Oreochromis niloticus: one gene and its partner. The protein of the gene in region 2 purifies or fractionates together with the protein of the main gene of each other region. This does not show direct contact. Links are inferred from orthologs where the notes say so. Each region holds a gene or a part of one and is shown on either strand. Other genes may lie near its edges.

Evidence for each region. The genes of interacting proteins can lie anywhere in the genome.
Region 1: the proteins of hectd1 (region 2) and znf622 purify together in Homo sapiens (affinity purification with mass spectrometry; 4 studies listed by BioGRID, with this or other methods). This does not show direct contact. The link is inferred for Oreochromis niloticus from reciprocal best matches to the Homo sapiens genes HECTD1 and ZNF622.

What each region holds. Positions count from the first base shown.
Region 1 is NC_031982.2:32,333,062-32,340,848, reverse strand, and holds the start of znf622 (zinc finger protein 622), read right to left. Parts: upstream 3,018-7,787; 5' UTR 2,863-3,017; intron 2,160-2,862; 5' UTR 2,154-2,159; coding exon 1,577-2,153; intron 1,398-1,576; coding exon 1,113-1,397; intron 940-1,112; coding exon 777-939; intron 634-776; coding exon 518-633; intron 1-517. UniProt on the Homo sapiens protein: Pre-60S-associated cytoplasmic factor involved in the cytoplasmic maturation of the 60S subunit.
Region 2 is NC_031983.2:3,635,491-3,643,433, reverse strand, and holds the start of hectd1 (E3 ubiquitin-protein ligase HECTD1), read right to left. Parts: upstream 3,018-7,943; 5' UTR 2,815-3,017; intron 2,787-2,814; exon of another isoform or gene 2,643-2,786; intron 1-2,642. UniProt on the Homo sapiens protein: E3 ubiquitin-protein ligase which accepts ubiquitin from an E2 ubiquitin-conjugating enzyme in the form of a thioester and then directly transfers the ubiquitin to targeted substrates.

The sequences.
Region 1 (7,787 bases), on a different chromosome or scaffold from region 2:
GCTCAGCGTCTTTTAATTTACATTTTGACTGCACAATTGTGAGCTCTTTGTTATGCACAAAACAACATAGTCTTCTTTTATTTATAGAGCATCATTATTTAATAAATGCTCATAATTTATTTTTGAGTAGTTTTTTCATGTACATCTATGCTGTATGTTAATAAAAGTGCCCGTGTGACATCTGGGACACAGCTTTGACTAAGAACTCTCTGTTTGTTCTTACTTTATGGCTTTAAAAAATATCGAGATATATATCTTATATCGCCATCCAGCTAAAAAATATCGAGATATGAATTTTGGGTCATATCGCCCACCTCTAATTTGGACAATCAGCATTGCAGGCTGAATCTATGTGACCCATTACCAACTAAAAACCACATCGGTGCCGATTTTTATGTTAGCCATGAAAAGTTTAGAGTTGTGGCTTATAGGGCAAGCATTTCATATAATTCCTTTACATACATTTAAGACTTGACCAGGATCTCCAATTATAAAAACTAATCTCATGTCAAGTCACCTGAAGGGAGCGTCAGCTCCATCGTCTCGTCGTCATATTCCAGGTTCTTGTCATCAGCCAACTCTTCATCATCCATTTCAGCATCCTCCCCCTCTTTTCTGTCAGGGTAACTACTCCTGTTGGCAAAAGAAAAGTGAAAATCAATGAGCCTTTGATGGGTTTAACGAAGCAAGATGCATTATATCTATTCCCACTAAACAAAAAAGGACCACTAATTGCTAAGCATTAAAGAGAGGCTCTGGTTAAATGTCTTTATTACCTGAAGTCATAGAAGTCTGCAAACTCCAGGGCGGCATCGCCATCTGTGAAGAGCTTACAGTGGCTTTTGTCTAACATGTGACTCTGTACTGCTTCTGTTGAGTAAAACGAACGCCCCTTTTCGTTACACCATAAGCACACGTTCCCAGCACCAACTTTTTCTCCTGTAAAACAAAGAAATTTTTTTTTAAAAATTGTTAGAGCACAAAAGAAAACATTCATGTGCAAAAGAGTGTTTGCTTTTTCATGTATGTGATGATCCTGACCACATCTTTCTGTAACTACACCATTATATCAATACAAGCCTTGCTGCTGCAATTTTACAGTCAAAACTCACCGAGGTAACGGATGAGGCCCTTCAGATCTATGAGGAACTCCACATCAGGGATGAAGAAACTGTGGACTTTGGTCATGTGTGTGACGTTCTTCATGAGGGACTTGGAGTGGTGGGAACAGAATAAGCAGTCAGTGATGGGGATGGAACCGGGTAGAGCGGGAGGTTGGGTATCAGACAGAGCAGTGGACTCGCCTTCCTCCTGATCCATCACCTCCTCTTCATCATCCGCCTCCATCTCATCACCATCATCGCCCTCATCATCTTCATCTACATCCTCCCAGTCTTCTACAACATTTTTATGGAAATACATTCAAACTAAGACAACATGACATTTTTACTGCTTTTTTCCCCCCTCTAAATTAAGTGCAAGTGTTGCTGTCAGCCTTCAGTTTATAATGTTCTGTGGGTGTGGCAAGAAATTCAGACAGTTGAGAAATGCTTTTTATTTCATTTAATCCACTCACCTTCACCAGCTGTGCCACCTTCTTCTCTTTCTCGCCTCTTGGCTTGCTCCTCCAGCCACATCATCCTGGGAGGTTTATCCAGCTTCTCAGTCCTCTGCTTTGTTGCTCCTTGTGAGGTCTGTGCATGGTCTTGCTGGGCAGGGCTCGATCTCTGCTGTTCTTTCAGCGCCTGTTGCAGGGCCTCATTCCTTGCGTCATTATCTACCTTTTCATCACTGAGCCCCTTCTCCAGGTTCTTCTCATTCATCTTCTCCACTCTCCTCTGGGCAGCGAGTAGGGTCTGCTTTTCGGCCTGTTGGTGTTTGTGGGACTGCAGGTGGTTCTGGTAAGCGTTGGCGCTGGAGAACTTCTTGTTGCAGATGGTGCAGTACTCAGTGGCTGATGCATCAGTCAGCTGCTGGTCAGCAGCGGACCTCTGAGCCAGGACACGTTCCTGGAAGTTTTCAGCAGTGACGGGGGGCATGTCGGCCACCTTCCGCTTCAAGTTGTACCGATGCCAGTCGGTTTTATAGTGTGCACGCTGCACCTCGCCATCTGCGAAAGCTACTCGGCAGCTGATGCAAGTGTACGAGGCCATTGGGACCTGTAGATTTAAATAAGGTTTACTTTCAGCACATAGCACAAAAATCAAAGGCGTCTCAATGTAGAGCTGTTTAACCATACACATTTTATTTGAAAGGAAGTTGCTTCTCTGGAGTTAGTTAAGTCTAATTTGTTAACAAATGTTTTACTTTGTTTACCCTTTCTGATGCTTCTTAACGATACCGGTAACGATTAGGCCTTAAAATCTCAATTTTAAATGTAAGATTAACTGAAAAAACGACGTATTCATGTACAAACATTCACCATTGTTTTATGTGATAACCATAAAATGTATATTTAAAAAAAAAAAACACGTGTAATGTTTATACATTTACTTTTCAGACGTGTGATGACGTCACTATTTTTAATGACCCGTCTGTATATGGATATTAGCATGGAAGCTAGCATACAGAGCTAGCCATTAGCCGGCTAGCGTTGTGAAGTCACGTGTTTACCTAACCACGCAGATTACTAGCGATACTAAACGCACACTGAATCTAAAATAGCTGCTACATCATTCAGTGTTTGCACGGTGGCGCTGCGCTGTTCCGAAATAAACGTACTGGGCAGAAACCAGCTCGGAAATTTCACGCATTTTAGCGCAAACACTGAAGCTAACAGCAGCTAAAATCATACGTTTGTAACGGTGACGATGACGACAGGAGCACATTACCACCACCGACTCTCCACCAATATTTACTCACCTGTTCAATGAGATGACTTCTCCGAAAAAGGTGTCTTAACCACTTTCTGGTATGTGCGCACCTGTCTCAGTGCCGTAACTACACCACAAAAACACGAGGATGACTTCCTGTTGAACTTTGCACTTCTTTTTCGTGGTGGGTTTTTTTTTTGTTTTTTTTTTGATCTGGCGCATCACTGCCACCTACCGTGTACAAAACGGTTCCTATTATACAAGGACGGCTAAATCTTTCACAACAAAAAGCTTTTATTGTGAACTGAAACTCAAGTAAAACAAAGGCTAGCCGTTAAAAAAATATTTTAAAAAAAGAGGAAAAACAACTTGAGAGCTAAATATAGGATGCTACATACATAGAGACACAGACATGTCTTTGGACTTTTGGATTAAGCAGGAGTACCCAGAGAGAACCCACGCAGACACGTGGCCAGCTGGTGGATTTAAACAACGTAAACCCCAAAAATTCTTGCTGTGAGGCCATAGTGCTAACCACTAACCTTGGGCAGATTTTTTTGGTTTTGTTTTGTTTTTTAGTCAGATCTGTGATGGTAATCAGTTTAACCTGGGTGATAAACTGAAAGGGTACAGGCTTGAACTGTTGGATTTTATTCCCACTGCTCTCAACACCTGTCTTATCTTCTGGAGGTATCTTGCATCCTGATTGTTATTCCCACTGGTCTGCCCTTGTGACATTTTTCCCTTGTAGCTGAGTGTACACACTGAATGGATCTTTGGATCCAAACTGGCCATTTATTTTCTTGCCCTCTGCTTCCATGGTATATTACTACTATAGTTCCCAGAGCTGTAAGTCTTTGTTTGGCAGTTTCTAGAGCCTCAGTTATGGACATCTTGTTTTACTTACTTTTCATATGCCTCTGCTTCCCTGAGTTTTGCTTTATGATTCAAAGTGTTTATTGTCAGGTGTCCAAAGAAAAAAAAGGCATTTCTCTGTGCAATGAAATTCCTTCTTTGCTGTCCACACACAGATGCCAATTAATATATACAATAGAAATAGAACATAAAATACAAATAGTACAAATAAATAAATGAAGACAAAAAAGAAGACATTATTGAAGTGTGAAACAGAGATGTGTGCAAAAGAGCTATGAGCTTAATATGCTGGCTTAATATGCAGGATGACCTTATGTGCAAAAAATTATTATTACTGTTCAAAAATAGGTCAGCTGTTCAGGAGCCTGATAGCAGTGGGAAAGAAGGAGTTGTTAACAGTCTGTGTTGGGGGTGTGTGGGGTCTTTGAGGATGGAGGCAGCTCTCCTCTGGACTCTGCGATGGTAGATGCTCTGCAGAGAGGGCAGCGGAGTCCTGATGATCTTCTCCACAGTTGTTATCACTCTCTGTAGGCGTTTGCGGTCCACAGCAGTAGTGCTGCCGTACCATGCAGTGATGCAGCTGGTCAGTGTGAAATGAATGAAAATAGACACTTTTCTTTTATTCATTTGGCACTTCATCATTAGCTGGTTATTTAAACAGGACCATTCATCACTCATTTGATGTCCAGTAGTCAGACTGAAGTTCAGTCTCTCCACATTGTTTATTAAGATTGCCATCAATGTTTTTTTAATCCTGCAGATGGTGCTATTGAGCCAAACACCAACACAGTATCAACACAATGACTCTACCAGGCCTCATCACTAATCCTTCCTCCTGTACTTTTCCACGGCTGGTACTAGCAACCAAGGTTATTATCGTTAACGAAAACTAACGAAATAACGAAAACTAGAAGTGAAAAAACATTTTCGTTAACGGAAATAAAAATAAAAACAAAAAAAGGAAAACTAACTAAAACTGTAATGAGTGTTCACAAAACTAACTAAAATTAACTGAATTTATAGCAAAAAGGCGTTTAGTTTTCGTTGATGTGTGCGTGTCATACAATAGTCAAGGGTGAAAATTAAGTTTAGTTTCCAGGTTTTTTTCTTGCTGTGTCTCATTATGCCAGCAGGTGGCAGTACGTTAGTCGAGTCGTCTGTGTTGCTGCTCCGTCCACGCGCAGAATCATGTCAGGAAAAGTCTGGAGAAAGCACCAGAGTCCAATTTGGGATTACTTTGAATATGACTGTGTTTTGGATAAAGCAAGTGTCTTGTAGTGGAAAGAGACAAATTATGAGGGACATTTCTAAAAGGAAAAAAATCCCACAAACCTTAAAGTGCACTTGAAAAGCTCACACAAGAAGGCTAACCTAGCTTACCTTGAGAAGGTAAGGGAGCACGCCCAACCCTCATCCCCAGAAACAGAAGCTAACACCAGGCAAGGCAGCGTGATGCATCCCGAGACAACAGGACTGGGATATCTACATAACTGTGTGAGTCAATTGCCTTAACACCCGGTGCTGCAAGAGTTAATAGTCTCATTGGGGCCAAGATATACATTTTATAGTTGCCTGGTATCAATGGTTGTTCATCTGCCTTTATTTATTTATTTAAAGAACCCATAGGTGGCAACGTGAGTTGTCTGTCTCTGCGTGTTAGCCCTGCGACAGACAGGCGACCTGTGCAGGGTGCAGAGTATGGTAGCTGGAATAGCAACATACCCAAGGATAAGCAGAAGAGAATGACTGATATGATGAAACTGGGATTTTGTTACACTTTATTGCAAACACAACTAAAACTATAACTGAAACTAATCAAAACTAAACTGAAACTAAGGATTTTCCAAAAAATAAAAACTAAACTAAACTAGCAAACAATTGTTAAAAACTAATTAAAACTAATATAAAATTGAAAATCTGAAGTCAAAACGAAATAAAAATAAAAACTAATGAAAATTGCAAAACTATTAAAGCCCTGCTAGCAACAGCAGCGTCCTGTGACTACGAGGGCTTATTAGTTGTTATGAGTACTACTGTTGACAGTCGGTTCATTTGACACATTTTGCTGCATTTATTTTTTAGGTTGTTTTTTCTGTCTTAGTTTTTCAGCTACTTCTTCCACATTAAACTCTGTTGTGCTAGGTGCGTGAGCACATGGTGAAGGTAGGGGAGGGGCCCGGTGTTTTAAGAGATTTGGGCAAAACAGTGTTGGTAATAAAAATGTATGAATCATAAATGTGGCCCTTCAACTGACGATGCATCAAATGATTGGCCACTGTGCACTGGCCGAGAATGCCAGATTACCTTACCAGTCCAGCCAGGTTGGACAGGCAAACACACAACATGAGGGGAGTGCACAACAAGGCACTGAAGGAAAGTAAGGGCTTAAATACACATGAGGTAATCAAGAAGATGGAACACACAAGGGAACACAGGTGAATTGAATCTGACTTACATGACAGGGGAAGCAAAACTGAACATGTCTTATGTGCATATATGAGACAGGGGACTATCAAAAATAAAACTGGAAGTAACACGTGCACACCAAGACTCATACTATGACATGAGAACTTTACACTAGGACTGGGGACAAATGGGCATGGAGTTATGACAAACTGGGGAGACTGAAGGTAAACAAGAACAGAGATGAAGAGCAAACACAGAGACACAACTAGGGCAGACTAGACACGGAAGGGGAACCAACATAACTGTGAAAAGATTTTGTTTATTATTCAAATATGCTTTGCTTGTGATTGTGTAAACTCTGAATGACGATTCACTCTGATAAACATGAAGCCTTGCCTATGCTTATCAAATGCCTGTGAAGACAAGTTCCTGTGCAAAGAGCAACGGAAAGTTCCACTTAAGCAGACGTTTAGTATAGTACGGACAGAATGTTTAGTAAGATATGCATTTGTCAGTTAAGCAATCTATATTCTGAGAACAGGCGGAGACTGCCTCCGTCTGCTGTGTAACCTACATGCCTATATAAACTGCAATAAAGAAGAGTACTGGTGTGACTGTCTCTTGAGACGCTCACCCCATGTACATGTGATTGATTATATTGTCTCACTGTGTCTCTGTTTTACTTTGGCAGCCTTCTATTTGGGAGATTTCCCCTAACATTTCTTGGTCCTTCGAAGCCGGATGAGACAGCCTATTTAAAGCAGCTCTCACAGAAAGCACCTCACCAGGTCCCGTCGGTGCGAGAAGCCCACGTTGAAGTCTGCCGGCAGCTCACATACTAGGTGTGTGATAAAACCCAAGAGCGTGAATTCGGGTCTTGGTCAACGTTTTACAAGCGGTCCGCACCGTCGGGGGCTGATCAGGTGCATCTCAAGAAACCAGCGCCAAGGTAAGACAGACTACTTTGAGATAATAAAGGTTTGCGCAAAAACGAAAACGAAACTTAAAAGAAATAGACTCGTCCAAGAGAGACTGGAAGCATTAAGCTCGTCTTGAGGACTGGTAGTCAGCTCGCCCGCAGAGGGTTGGAAGCACTAAAATAAAGATTGAGCTCGTCATAAGTGATTGGTAGCTCCCCGAAAGGGTAAAATAGGCCTAGCTCGCCCACAGTGGCTGGAAGCAGTACGCTCGCCTTAAGAGGCTGGTAGCGTGAACGCGCGTTAAAACTGTCTGTCTTTTATTGTCTTTTTTGGTGGAATAAGTTGATTTTTACAGCACAATAAGGAGGCTGAACTATTCCACTGATTTGTTTACTGTTGGTCGCTGAAGTACTGGTGAGCTGAGAGGAAGGTCGTGTTTTATCACGTAAAGGTGACACCGCTTTCAAGAATAGCTGAAAGTAGAAGGGCGTGTCAGCTACCTCTCTCTGTTCTCGTGCCAGTGAAAGCGCCGCAGGTGTGTGTGTATTACTAAGCGCTAAAAGAAGCATAAACTAATAATGGGAAATAAAGCAACAAAACTCACTGCTGACGAGCAGTGGCTAGAAAAGAAATGTCTAGGCGCCGGACAAATTAGTGCATATAGATGGAGAAATCCAAAGAAAACTAAATGTCCCACGTGGGAGGGAAAATGCATTAACTAAATTATAAGAAACCCTCCAAGCAGAAATAAATACTGAAAAGGAAGCTAAAA
Region 2 (7,943 bases):
CTGTTTTAGAGGATCGGTGTTTCAAAGGATAGTTGCAGATTTCTGTCAGAATCTGCAGATTATACAGTACAAATAAAATGTTCACGTTTCTCCAACGTTGTCTTCCCAACAGTTTCACTGACATCTACACTGGATGGCCAGGAAGCGTTCGCGATGTCCTCTCGGGCGCTTCTCCGGCGCTGATAATTGGCGTCTGTCTTGTGTCAGTGACGTAAAAGACGGATTTAATGCGACATGACCGTTCAAACAGCAGTCACTTTCTAAAACATCGGATATGTATCGGATTCAGTACCACATACGAAAGTGACCCAGATTGGATTTGAAAATATCGGATTTGTGCCGTTCACACTGTCATACCATGATCGGATATGGGTCGCATAGGGTCAAAAAAATTGGATTTGATGCGCTTTCGCCTGCAGTGTGAACGTAGCCTTACTGATAATGTGCTTGCAGCCTTCATCAGCATCTCCAGTAAACATATTACAACCAAGAATTACATCATATTTGTATGGAGCAGAAAAATGTAATAATGATTAATTATTAGTTGTTATTAATTGTTAGTTTGTAAATTTATTTTGATCATGTAAACAATATACAGAAGTTAATTTAGCAAAGAAAAGAAAAAATGCTATACAAAATAAAGGAAAATACAAAACAACATGTCATCACATCCATGTGAATGACAGCTAATGGGTGCTTCAGAGGGTCTGCAGAATTAATACACTGGCATACATGTGTGGTGAATCAAGTAGGCGAAATCATCACATCATTTAAACAGCATGCTTTCCGAATGCCTTGCCTCAAAGTCACACATGGGCCTGCTAGTTTTGTCATGAAAGTACAATTTCCAACTAGATAACTGATACCCAGGAAAATACGCAATACTACTTAAATGATAAAACAATTCTCTTATACAGTTGAAAAAAATTTTTTTAGTTTGTCTGAGGTGGTGCTGTGCTTATGGTGAGCTGACACCATATTTTCATCGATGGTCAAATAGAGTTAGTAAGGTAGGTTGCTGCCATTTCTGTCTAGTTGCTGGTAGACTGTTAGACACAAATTACTGTTACCCTGTTGAATTAACAGTGTATTAATGTTACAAATGGTAACATTTGCTGCCTTGCTCCTACATTAACATTATCATTTTATTAGCAACTAGCTGTTATTTTAATGAGCCACAAAGACACAATACTGGCAGCACATATGAAAAGTTTTACTACTGCACACGTTCAGGACTGCCATGGATTGTTAACTTGGCAGTTGCTGGGTTTTCGATTAGGTGTTCCAAATTTAAATTCCGACTAAGAACTCAGGAATTACAACTTATTCAGGAATGCACCGTAAGTCAGACTTGAGGGGGCATTCCAGTTAAAAATTCTATTAGAAACTGAGAAAATCTGACTACAAATGAAATAATCAATTTGGAAGTGACCTCACTCACAGTTCTGACATCCAACTTCAGAGGTAAATGGGGCAGCATTTAACCAGGCAAGTATTAACAACCAATTCTTATTGTACTTACAGCGATCTGGCAAATGGAAAAGCTGCTTAGGGAAATGTGGGTAGGACTAAAAAGAAAACTAATTTAACACCAACACATACTGGAGAACACACACCTGTAAAACTTAGTTAAATTATCTAATCACAAAAAACTACTTTCGCGTAGACTGTACCAACTGATTTTGTTGAAACCATCTAGCCGAAACATAGCTTTTCCAATGAGGAGTGGATACCTGAGACAAGGTTAAAAGAATGTAAGCGCTCCATAAAGCATTTCTTAAACCTGAAAGACAGAAATTAAAATATGGACATTTATTACTCAGTAATTCGGCAAAGTTCGCTTAACATGATTTAAACCTACAGAACAGCTGTCACGCTCACAATATTGTGAAACAGTTACGGTACACCAACCTAATAAAAGTTACACATAACAGTTACACAGCAAACTGGTAAGAGAAGTGACCATTAGGTAAATAAAACAAAACAATGATATAAAAACAAATGTTGATGTAGTAACACAAGAAATCAACATTTAAATGTTCCCATGTTGAACTCAAACTTTTATACTTTATATTTACACAATGTTAAAAAGTCGGGCAAAAAAAGCTTTGTTATGACTAATGGAAAACAAACACGTTCAGCCATATCCGAGAGAGCTAATCGTATGACCGCAGTTTTTATTATTTGACGAGCCATACGGAGCCTAATTATTCACACAAATCAACTTAAGAGGACATAGAACAGCTATGTTATTGGAAGCGATAAGCCTTAGAGTTAGCTGTCCAGTCGGGTACATACAGTTTTATAGTCGGGTGAGTAGCTTTACTTCCAGATTCGCTAATGTAAAGCATCGGCCGATGTCAGGCCGATAAACCGAAATAAAGCTTAAAAAATCTCCATAATCCCCCAACCTCAGACTCAGCCGCTTTCAATTAAGTCATACAATTGTTTGTCCCTCAATATAAAAGTAATTTCATGTACCGAAACCCGGAAAGCCGGCTAATATTAGCCGATTAGATGGCCTTAGCACCACGTTAGCTTCCAAAAACAAGCAGACTTTAACAACAAAAAAGCTTTTTCCCTACTAACAACTGAAGCGTCTTGTCCCCCAAAAAAATTTTAACCATTAAAATAATTTATACCTGTATTTTATGCTTGCTTTGCCAACCAACTATACATGCGGCCTCGGACTTCTAAAGGAAACCACCGGACTCGAGTTCCAAGAGAGCCGAGAGGCCACGGTGAAACAGCGGACACAAAACTCAAGCGACAACGGCCTCGATCTTCAGGTCACCAGCAGAACGATTCACTCACCGTTTTTGCTCTTTTTGACAAAGAGACGATCGACAGGTGTATGAATAATTCTTCTGGGACAAATACAGGGTACAGAGCCGTTTGTGCCGGGAGTTACGTCAAGGTGCTCCCATTTCTTCTCAACGAGTCTTAAGAGGTCAGAGTGGACGGCGGCCCGCAAAACACAGCAGACCGGACTGAAATGGAGAGCTGAGGCGATTGAGCCCGCTGCCTTCAGAGGTCGCCATCTGCCTCGGAAATGCCAATGTTCAAAAGCTATTCGCTTCATTTTATCATTAATATTTTTAATTATTCACAATAAGTGTATATATTACGACTTATAAATCACAAGCTCTCACATAAATATCATTAAAAAATAATAGATAACACACTGAATATTAGCGCGGCGAGGATTTTAATTTACAGATGTCCCAAAACAGCTCCCACATCTCCCTTAAAGTTGAATTTATACTTATGTAGTATGTAGAGCCAAGGCGTAGCATGTGCAAGTGGCCGTTTGCTAGTGTCCCTGCATCAAACAGCCATGTGTAGTTAGATTACTAGAGGTACACATCACGTTACCCATAGGTTATGAGGTAGGGTTTCAGAAGGGTTTGCAGTTACAACTTAACTAAGGTGTAGATGTAATGCAGAAGTATAAATATATAAAAGTAAAGCAGAAGTAAAGGTAGAAAAGTAAAAGTAAATATATAAAAGTAAGTATAAATATTTATAGGTATTCTAGGTGTTAGGACCAATATATTTTCCTATATTTTCCAAAGTTTGTTCATAACAAACACCATGCTGTTCACAAGTTCACATAGCAACAGATCTGCGGCCATATGTCTTGGACACTTAAAAAGAGCTTCTACACTGTCAACTGATCACCACCTGGTGGTGAATTGGATCAGATGGCAGGGGAAGATGCTAGCCAGACATGGCATACTGAAACGTATAGTGAGCAAGCATTGGGGACATCTGGCAGTCCTCCAGATCTTCAATTCCCACCTCTGACAAGACTTCGATTGCATTCTGAGGGAGGGTGGGGACAGTGAGTCTGAGTGGACCATGTTCCACACCTCTATTGTTGAGGCAACTGCAAAATGCTGTGACTGCAAGGTCATTGGTGCCTGTTGTGGCAGTAATCACAGAAGTTGAAGGAGGCTATCAGGTTGAAAAAGACGTCTTATCAGGCTTGGTTAGCCTGTGGGAATCCAGAAGTAGCTAACAGACCAGCAGGTCAAGTGGAGTGTGGCTGACCTAAAAACTCTGGTGTGGGAGGAGTTGGTGAGACCACTGAACAAGACTTTTGGTCTCAAAGCGGTGGTGGGATTTCACTGACCTCAACTGAGGACATAGGTAAGGCAGTGGAAGGAACACTTAGGGCAGGGGTCTGCAGCCTTTTACACCCAAAGAGCCATTTGGACCTGGTTTCCACGCAAAAGAAAACACTGGGAGCCGCAAATACTTTTTGACATCTAAAATGAAGATAACACTGTATATATTGTTTTTTATCTTTATGCTTTGTGTGAACAACTAAGGTGTGCTGCTTATGAAATCCATGAAGTGCTACAGAGAAAATTAAATTATATTTATGTAATCAACACATTTTGAACTCTTAAAGAAATATAACAAAAGGAAAGACACCAACCTGAACTAGAATGATCCATGTAGCAAACAAAAACTGTCAGCCGCCACCCTTATATCGGAGGGACTTTCGCACTGGAGAGGGTGGCTGAGACTTTCATCCTTTCATCACAGGATGACTTTCATCACAGGACGAAACACCTTGCTACCATCCTTGCACCTCTCGTGGGGAACACCCCACACCACATCAAGAACTCCACCGACTTCACCGACAAGGTCCAGAAACTTACCCTGGATCCAGATGAAACCATGGTGTCCTTTGATGTAGTCTCTCTCTTCACGTGCATACCCACCACGGAAACAGTGGAGACTGTCAGAAAACGACTACAAGAAGACAGCTCCTTGGAAGACAGGACCAACTTCACACCCGATCAGATCTGCACACTGTTAGACCTCTGCCTTACCACAACATACTTCAAATACAACGAAGGCTTCTACAGACAAAAACATGGCTGTGCCATGGGCTCCCCCGTGTCACCTATTGTAGCCAACCTTTACATGGAGGAAGTGGAAAGGAAGGCTCTTGGCTCTTTCAAAGGAAGAGCACCCAGCCACTGGTACAGATATGTAGATGACACCTGGGTCAAAATCAAGACACAAGAAGTGGAATCCTTCACTGCGCACATTAACGCTGTGGATAAAAACATCAAGTTCACCAGGGAAGACACAAAGGATAACTGTTTGCCTTTCCTGGACTGCGCCGTGCACATTGAAGAGAATGGCAACCTCAACATCGAAGTTTACCGGAAGCCCACACACACGGACCAGTACCTCCTCTTTGACTCCCATCACCCTCTGGAACACAAACTTGGAGTAATTAGGACCCTACACCACCGGGCAGAACATGTTCCCTCTAAGCCTGAGGGAAAAAAGAAGGAACACACACACGTAAAGGAAGCACTCAAAACATGTGGTTATCCTAACTGGGCGTTCATAAAGTCAGCAAAGAGGCACAGAAAAGAAGATCAGACACCAGCGAGGGAGGATAAGAAAGACAGACGCAACAATGTTGTCATCCCCTATGTAGCCGGTGTATCAGAGAAACTCAGGAGAGTTTTCTCCAAGCACGACATCCCAGTGTACTTCAGACCCAGCAACACACTCAGACACAAACTGGTTCACCCGAAAGACAAAACTCCAAAACACAGACTTAACAACGTGGTGTATGCTGTACAGTGCAGCGAGGAATGCCCAGACCTCTACATTGGAGAGACCAAACAGCCACTTCACAAGCACATGGCACAACATAGAAGAGCCACCTCCACAGGACAAGACTCAGCAGTCCATCTGCATCTTAAGGATAAAGGTCACTCTTTCGAGGATGCCAATGTTCACATTTTGGACAGAGAGGACAGATGGTTTGAAAGAGGAGTGAAAGAGGCCATCTATGTCCACTGTGAGCGACCATCTTTGAACAGAGGCGGTGGTTTACGACACCAACTGTCTGCCATCTATAATCCAGTTTTGAGTTCCCTCCCCAGACGCCTTAACGCCCACTCACATCCTGGGCCATCTGACCTCAGGAATTCACATAACAAGGTGGGGCCAGGTTTCACAATGAGCTCACCCGAAACCCTGGCTGATTAGGTCCCACACCCGCTTTCACACCTTGGCTCATGTGATTAGAGGATCACCAGGGGGTCCTTTGTCCCTCTTTGGGGGGATACTCCCACTGGGTTTAAATCTGGGACTCTCGGCCATTTGACCTTAGAACTGAAGAAGCTTCTCGGATGAGAGGTGAAACGTCTTCAAGCAACTTAAAGAAGTCCAGACGCTTTTCTTTGCAAATTCCTTTGACTACAATGGGACTTCTGCTCCTGAACCTCTGCGCACAGAGTCCGCAAATCGGGGCTATACGAAGTCAGTTTACGCAGGACTGTAAGCTGTCATCTGTCAGGCGTGAACAGTGTTTGTCTTTAACATAGTTCACGGTGGAGAACAGCTGCTGACATAATGTGGATCCGAAGATCCATAATTGGCCTACCTGGGGTTGAAAGTCTCGATAAATGCACGGCGTTTCTGCGGGTATACCGGCTTCCGCGAGGGTGACTCTTATTTTGAGCGATGAAAAAATAATAGAATATAATTTTATTTTTATATTTCAATATCACAATAATCTTCCAATTTAGAACTACGAGTAAAAAGAACTAACATAAATAAAATACACTTCAGCTAAATACTTCTAATTTATTTGCCCAAACCACGCGGAGCCGCACTATAAGGACTAAAGAACCGCATGCGGCTCCGGAGCCGCAGGTTGCCGACCCCTGATTTAGGGAATACCTCAATCCCACTGTCATGTTTTCTGTATGGAAGAAGAGTGAGGCTGAGGGGATGACTTGCTTATCACTTGAGGTGAGGTCACTGATTGAGTTGAATAACTGCTCCGTGGTAGGGTAGCTGGGGTGGATGAGATTCACCCTGGATGTTGTGGGGTTATCCTAGCTGACATGTCTCTGAAATGTTGCATGGAGGTCTGGCGGTGGCTTTAAATTACCAAAGTAATCTTACGAGAGTCCGTCTGTTAGTAAAACCATGCATTCAGGAGGCACAATGTTGTTTTCGTCCTAGTCACAGAACATTGCACCCATTCATTATTAAAGTGTGCATAGGAATTTGTCCAATCAGTTTGCATGTGTTTTGTGGACCTGGAAAATCTATTTGTCTGCATATGTCAGGACATGCTGTGTGGGGTATCTATAGAGTGTCTGGCCAGTTGTTACAGGCCATTCGGTCCCTGTACAAATGCAGCAAGAGCTTGGTTTGTATTGAATACAGTAAGTCAGATTCATTTCCAGTGTGTATTGGTCTCTTCCAGGGCTGCCCTTTGTCACAGATTCATAGTTTTTATGAACAGAATATTTAGACATAGCCAGATGGTGGAGTCTCCAATTTGGTGGGCTTTGTTGAAAAACATCTTTGTTTTTTTTGCAGATAATGTGCTTCTGTTGACTTCATTAGCTTTTGACCTCCAGATTGCTCTGGGGTAATTGCTTTTGTAACATTGCTGTATTGTGGATGTTGTACCAGGTTTTCATGGTCTAGAGAACTGAAAGTGGAGGTGTCAGTTTAGCAGTTGAGACACCTTCCTAATCTTATCTATGGTCAAATGTGTGGGTAGAAACAGAAGGAATGACTGGCAGAAATGAGCTTAATCCAAGGGGTGTCTTGGTCATTTGGCAGAGGCTCAGATAGGATAAACAAGCTTAAAATTGCTCAGCCTACTGTGAAAAGTGAGTTTACTACCCTGAATACATCAACAACCTATGCAAGTTTTGTAATAAACTCTTCTGCTTTCAGTGGAGGCTCCATGTTTAATTCCCATTTGTTACAGTAACATAGCAGTATTACTGAACAGCAGAAACACACGTGACCTTGTTCTAACATTCAGGGAGAGAACTCGGTGAAAAGCTATAGGATGGAGACAAACTGTTGGCACTATGGCAATGTGACAACTTCCCTCAATCACTGCATATTTGCAATTATCATAGGCATTACTTAAG